2 linked regions of the Caenorhabditis elegans genome follow. The protein of the gene in region 2 interacts with the protein of the main gene of each other region in a pairwise test. Each region holds a gene or a part of one and is shown on either strand. Other genes may lie near its edges. The genes, in order: exc-9 and exc-1.

What was found.
Region 1: the proteins of exc-1 (region 2) and exc-9 interact in a two-hybrid assay, tested with the Caenorhabditis elegans proteins (one study listed by BioGRID).

What each region holds. Positions count from the first base shown.
Region 1 is NC_003282.8:7,939,006-7,942,630, reverse strand, and holds exc-9 (Cysteine-rich protein 1), read left to right. Parts: upstream 1-1,566; 5' UTR 1,567-1,643; intron 1,644-1,814; 5' UTR 1,815-1,824; coding exon 1,825-1,864; intron 1,865-1,911; coding exon 1,912-2,012; intron 2,013-2,247; coding exon 2,248-2,358; intron 2,359-2,546; exon of another isoform or gene 2,547-2,567; intron 2,568-2,606; coding exon 2,607-2,612; 3' UTR 2,613-2,819; downstream 2,820-3,625.
Region 2 is NC_003284.9:15,475,445-15,479,374, forward strand, and holds the start of exc-1 (IRG-type G domain-containing protein), read right to left. Parts: upstream 1,966-3,930; 5' UTR 1,959-1,965; coding exon 1,786-1,958; intron 1,724-1,785; coding exon 1,567-1,723; intron 1,369-1,566; coding exon 1,069-1,368; intron 807-1,068; coding exon 466-806; intron 1-465. Other genes in the region: Soluble guanylate cyclase gcy-36, read left to right, coding at 3,797-3,799, 3,849-3,922.

The sequences.
Region 1 (3,625 bases), on a different chromosome or scaffold from region 2:
AATGAAAAATGTATATTATTATTTCGAACTATTTTACCATCCCATTAATCTTTAATCAAATAGTTATCGTCTAATGGGCAAATTTACTTCACTTGAGAAAAAACCATTCCTAATACTAATTTCATGTCACCCTTGTACATCTTCTCATATTATTCTCCCTTTCTAAATCCAAATATGTCCTTTTGTGACACCCCATCACAAGAAGAAGAAACATGTATTTTTAGAGACATAGAAGTGTAAATTGCACCTGTTCATTGCCTGTTCTTTTCCCATCCCGCGCACGCGGTCAGTGGTAAAAAGTTGTAAAAGAACAGATGTGGTGCCCCTTTCTTTGCTTCAATTGCCCTGTGATGCAGCAACAAAAATATTAAAATTATATTTTATTATTATTGAAGTGATGTAGTCTAAACTTACCGTAGCATAGGAAATAGTAAAAATTGTTGAAAGTTATTTTTTATTTTCACTCAAATATCAAAAAAAAAATTCAAATTTTGTTTACTAACTACATACATAGTTTACACAAAATATCAGTTATATTTCCGCTGATTCATTCAAAAAATGCAAATATTTTTCCATTTTTCCGGTCCCGCGAAACTAATAATCTCTTGCCTTTTCTCTCTTTTTTCACTCGGTTTATTTCGGCTTTCAGACCTATTCATAGTGGGGAAATTTGTGTGGAATTGGGAAAATTCTCTGCGTCTCTTGCTCTCTTTCAGTCAGTCAGTAGAATTGTATTTGTGCCAACTGTCACATTGTGTTGTTTCTGGTGGCAGGTGTCTAGGTATACCTTTTTCCTCAATACTATGACACACCCTACACACCATGTTAGGTATTCGCTTTATTTGCGTGTGGTGGGTAGTACTAATTGACAAAAATCAATTTATCGTCTTGCATGTAATTATGTACTTGTATGAAAGGCTAATTTTTCAAGTTGTCTGTAGTACGGCTAATATTCGCAAACCTCGTAAAAAACGTTTTTTTTTTTCAGAAATTTGTCAGTGCTTCAACGTGTTTAGAAGTTGATTTGAGATAGTTTAGAAATTGCTCTAACTGCTAACATTATCTAATATCATTGTAAACTATTCAAAAAAAATGTTGGAATTTTTAATTTACAGTAATTTACAGAAAAGTGGTAATCATTCAGTTTTCATATATCGTAGTTTTGGAATTCGAAGGTGCAATAATCCTCCGAATGTTTCAAAAAAATTGCAATTTTAGAAAATTTGACAATTTACCAAAACTAACTGAAAATTTTAAAACTCCAAAGACACTTTGGAATTTTCGATTTATTTTTTTGTTCATTTCAAAACTATTTTGACATAATTCTCACTGGCGTTGATCTTTTTTTACGGAAGTTTTATTATGACAATGGATTTTCAATTAGGGCTCAGGGTGTTCCAATACTACATGCATGGGAAAACTAACTGTATTTAGAGGAAATATGTTTTTTTTGCAGTTATACATTCTGTTCATAGTTCGAAAAATCATAAACTCCATCTTTAACTTACGTGGCCTTTTGTTCTAAATTTGTTCAGTTCTCTGTATTTTCCTCCTTTGTGCTCAACATTTTTTACGTGGAATTCTGAGTTCATCTGTTATTTCTCACAGTAATCTGGTCTTCGAGCTTTTCCTCATAAAATTTGGTAAACATTGGTTATAAAAGACGCGCGTGACAGAAACAGCAGAAGCTACTCAAAATCTTCTTCTCCTTCTTTGCCTTCTTTTTTGTTTCTCTCATCTATTTTAGAATTCTCTTATCCTTTCTGTTTCTTCTTTTTCTTCAATGAATATCCCGTTATCCATTTCCATTTCAGAGAGCCAACAATGCCAAATTGCCCGCGTTGCCAGAAAGCTGTGTATTTCGGTAATATTCTATAACAACTAATTCATTAGAAAATCTTTTATTTTCAGCCGAACGAGTGACTTCAATTGGTTTCGACTGGCATCGTCCATGTCTTCGTTGTGAGAATGAAGCATGCAAGAAGACGTTGGCAGCTGGAAGTCATTCGGAGGTTTGTTTAGTTTTACGGAGCCGTGAACATATATAATTCAAAACCTATGTTGGGAAATTTTCTAGATTCCAATAATCGATCATTAACAGATTATTAAAACTTTATGGCTTATAAGTATACTTTTCAAAAAAAGTATACTTCCCAAAAAAAGAACTTTGTAGACCTAGGGACATTCCATCTATAACTTCTTTTTTGAAATATTTCTCTCAAAAGCTCATAATCTATATATTTTCAGAGAGAGGGCAAGCCATACTGTAACCGATGTTACGGAGCTTTGTTCGGACCACGTGGATACGGCCACGGTGGAACCGAGTCACACACGTTTCATCAAGGACAAACTGGACAGGTAAGAAGAGTTTTTGTTTCTACTATAAATTATTTTACTTTATAAAACTAACTTGAGTTTCTAGTAACCTTTAGTAAGGTTTATTTTCTACGTTTCAAATTCTTGGAAAACAAAATTTTGAAACGCTTTATAATATTATTACTGTTTGAAATTTCCTAAATTTATGATAGAAAACATGAAAATAGTATTCCTCTAACAATTGAATGGCTCAGTTTAATTTTTCAGTTCAAAATTCTCAACATTTTCAGGTTTAAGCCATCAACTGCTTCTCCACGTTCAATCAGTCCTCATTCTATCCGCAACAGTAGAATTCTCGTACCCACACGCCACATCGTCACCTACTACTGATTTTAATATTCGTTTTTTTGCCTCTTTTTTCGATATTTCGAAAAGAAATTGTGTCTCTACGACATTCACATTCCCCCACTCAAACAATTCGACATAATAAAGTTTATTGATAGAAATATATTACTTATATGTAAAATAACATTTTTAAATGGGTCTAAAACAGAACGAAAAATCAAGCAAATAAACTGAAAGTCTGAGTACTTTACGATGTTTATTAATACTTTCCAGCTACGGAGCTGATATCATCCATAAATATTAAAAAAAGATCTACTGATAGTAAGATTTGTTTTCAAAATAACAACGAACAAAATCCGGAAAAAATCTTTATAAGTGTGAAAATATGTAATATGTGTTCTTAATATTAGAACAAGTAAGCTGAAATTGACGTATATTACAAATCCTATTGTGGGTCTTCAAACTCAAATTCAAAGATAGACTAACATTCAGACATTAGACATAAATAATTTCAGTTCAAAGATTTTTGCTTACAGCTTTGCAATTAATAAACAACCCACAAAAGCAAAGCTTGGTCTATATTTCAAGAGCTGTTTGATTCTATTACCTCAATCAAATTGCTTCATTTTTCAAAAGTAATATGACACTTGGACGCCAATACTCTAAGGTTTTCCAAAAATGAATTCAACTTGAATCAACCGAAAATTGACAGTATTGTATTTATGGTCAACGTTTACGTTTTCAGGCAAATTATAAAATGAATCAGAAGCTTTCGAAAGAGGATCGTAAGTACCCTAAAGGATCAGAACATAGTGACAGACAACCATCTGAAAGTATTCTCATTCTCTTAGCTTTGAATACTATTCCAACAATTCCAACAAAGCTCCTAATCCAAGAGACTCATCTAATATTATAATATCACTCGCAATAATCCGCATTTTCTCAGTGTGAAAGTGAATCTTTG
Region 2 (3,930 bases):
ATATTTTTACTAGAGTGCATCTTTTCGCGCGACCATCATGGCTCAGCAGGTAAGACTTCGGCACAACGGGAAATGCTATCAAAGTTCAACACACAGGTATAAATTGGGTAAGAAATAGGCAAAACTTGGGTAAGACTTGGGTAAGACTTGGGCGACGCCTCGAGACGACGAGGCAGTCCACGACTTTTTTCATTTTTGAGGCGGCGCCCAACTCTTGCCCAAGGTTTACCCAAGTCTTGGCAACTCCTTATAAATGTTTTTATTTTTTGGGCAAGGCTTGGGTAAGAAGTTGCGAAGCCTTGGGTAGGAAGCTGGCGGCAAACGCCGAGACGCTTTAAACAATTTTTCCACTGACTATACTCTACTTTTAACTTTTAAATTCGGCCAATTCAACAACACAAAAGTGGTTTTTAAGTAAGTATCCAGTGGCGATACTCACCATCTTCCATCCTAAATAAAACTTACTCATATAATTTCTCAAAACCCATGTTGGCGTCAAAAACAACACTTGACGAAGAGAACGTTCTGGGATATGGAATTTCCCAGAGAACAATTTGTTGAAACTCTCCTTCAATAAACCGAAATGGCTCCATTCTGTCACAATGACTTCTTCCAGCTGATTGTGGATCACCATTGTTCAAGCCTCGCAGAGAATTAATCAGTGAGGATTTTCCAGACCCACTTCTTCCACAAAATCCAAAATTTTTTCTATTAGCGTCAATTGGAAATGCACCACTGTGAAATGTTTTTCCGGAACTGTAGTTGTAGTCATTGAGAACATTGTAGATTGGGTAGTCATCGGTTGTCTGAAACAGGGATGTACGGCCTCAAATTGTTGTCATTTTACTAATTTTTTGAGGACAAAAATCAATAGTTTTGGTCAAAATTGTATTGTCAAATTTTTGATGTGTGCGGTAAATTTCGAAACTTGCCGAGCTCGGCAAATTCGCAGCACACCACTGGTTTGAAATATGTTAGACTTGTGGTAAAGCTCTCGCGCACTTAACATCCGATTAATATTGGGTTCGTGTTTAATTTTTGAAAAAACTGGCTTATACATGCACTCACTTTAATAGAAGAAACTGATGCATTATCTTGCAAATTGGGTGCCTTTTTTTCCTGCTTCGCAAAATCAAACTTCACATGTGGAATACCCACTGCATATGCTAACTCTTCCTTTTCAACTTTTTTCTCTTTTGGAACTACAGGCGGGTCACGGTCTCTTGTGTTCAAAGCCTCGAATAACTGAATTTTGTCTTTCGCATAATAAATGGGGCGTTTTATAACTGGAGGAGCGTAGTGAGATTCATCTGGTTTTGGGGGCAACGGACTGGCACCTCTTGTGAGTACGGACGAACCAAAGATTTTCTGGAAAACAATTTTACTGATTATTTATTTTTCAAAAAATATGTTTAGGAATTGTTGCAACTATGTACAGAAAACTTTGCATACATACTTGAAAGAAATAAAATATTTCAGTATTAAAATTACATATTTAAAACATTTTTCACAACAAAATTATGAACAAAAAAAAACGAAAAATCCTATCTTTTCGAGTATCCTTACCCTAGTATCTTCATGATGGAATATTCCATCTTTAGGCGGATCAGACGGCGGTGGAATACTTGGCGGAGGTGGTGGGCTTGATCTAGGTGGACTACTAGAACCAGAGTGCTCACTAGACCCCAGTAATATTGGTGTTTCTTCGATAAACGATCTCAAGCTGAAATCAATATCAAATGCAAACGAACAAGTATTTGTATACATTTTTCAGCTAACAACTACCTGTGTGTATCCCGCGGTGTGGGTGGTGGAACAGTAAAAGGATTAGGCGTATCTGGTTGGTAAATGGGTGTCGGGTGCGTAATTGTAATGTTTGGTAGGTCGGCGAGCGTTTTTGCTGTTGGAAACGCAACATGGTTTTCCACTTTCTCGTTTTTTGAGGTTTTGTGTCCCATCCTAAAAAATTCAAGTTGAAATTTGTTATTGGCATGTATTCTCGGCATTTTGCATTAGGTTCTTGCTTCAGTTTAGCCCGAAAATGTTTAACATTGATTAAAAGTTGGCAAAACTAGGGCCAACCTTGGCGAAAGTTGTGCAAGATCTTTGGGAAAAAAATTAGGCTGAGCACAAGTTTAAGCCAACTTTAAACCAGCTCAAGTTTGAAACGACACCAGAAATGTTTGCACAAAAGTTTGGTAAAAGTTGGGTCAAACTCGGCGCTGCTCAAATTAAGTTTTGCCACAATCTCGTCCAAGTTGCGCCAAATGTAACCCAAATTTTGGCAACGTTTGATAAAAATTAACATTTCCGGCAGAGCAAAACTTGGCCAAGAAGCTAGTGCCAAACGCCGAGTTATAAATTTTCATACAAAAGAAAACGAGTGGTGAAAATTTTGAAAATTTAGAAAGTAGAATATTGAATATACATAGAATATGTGAAACGCGAAGAATACAATAGGACGAATCAACGCACTCCGTTTTAATCGCATAGTCTTACTAAAAATTGAGAGATTGGATGAAAAGCGGAGAGAAAAGTGGTTTGCAACAAACACGGAAAATCAGTTATACAGTATTTTTCTCCGCATCTTTTTTTTCCCGAGTTACTGGCACACTTTTTATTTCCATAAACCTGCACTTTATGCAAATTACGGTGAATCATTCCAGCCGTCTGGTCTATCATTGACTTTTGTTTTAACAAGTTTTAGATATGATGTTGGTAGATGGGGTTTGGATTCATCGTGAATTAATCTCATTGAAAATTTGAAGTAGTTCGGATTCTGAAAAGGCCATCTGAAAATGATCCTAATTCCATTTGGAAAGTTGAAAACTGTAAAAATACTAATTTCAGGCTTTTCGTCGTTGGAACTCAGAATATCACAGTTTTACGCACTTTCAGTTATTTTTAATGAACACAATGCATATTTATTGCTTATGCTTTTTATTTTCCGATAAAACGACACGGAATATGTAAAAAAAACAGTCAAATAATAAAAATAAAAAGAATTAATTAAATATAATAGTGCAAGCGCGCTCAATCGAAAAATTTTTTTTTTAATTTTAAAATTTTTTATTTAAAAATTTAAAAATTTTTCTGAATTTTTTAATCATGATATTCGGCCATAGTAATGGAATGGGATGTCCCCATAGGAATGTTTTAAAGCAATTTCCCCACTGAGCAGAATTCATGGTGAAACATTTTTTTGCCAATGGGAAGGTTTTATTGTAAGGTACCGTATTTTCAGTCATATCTGAAGTACTAAAATCTGGTTGTTTTAACATTAAAACTGCATTTTCTGTGTAAATATAAAAGTTATTTGAATTAAACAATTATACCACAAAAGAAATACGAAAAAAAAATTCTAAATCCAAATTTTCAGTAGCAACTTTTCAATTTTGACTAACTTAAGGCAGACTACCGTTTTTCTTCTATTAGTCTTGCATGCATATCATTTTTAGTTGCATTCCATAGATACCTTTTGAGTTTTCCATATATTTACAATCTTCCTCACTCTCCCATCTGTCACCATCTCAGCAACCGGTGAGGTCAGGCGGATAATAAAATTTTTGATGACATCGACACACGGAATGACTTCCTAAAACAGACGACTACAGCATTGCGTGTCTATTAATTATTCAATGCACCTGAGCAATGAGAAGTTACAATTTCCAATTCCACCTTTTCGTAATCATAACTTTTCTTCCATTTCGTAACTCATTTTGGTAAGAATTTCCGTCTTTCGGAGCGAGAATATTTCTTTTCTGACGTGGTAAATTCAAACAAGGGCTACCCAACAATGGTAAAATACGCAACGTTTTGCAGAAATCATGTAATTTTTTTTATTTTAGTTCGGCTTCATTCATGAATCTATTCGACAATTAATGATACGAACTTATGGAGAAGCATTCTGGTCAAAAGTTTTGTAAGTTT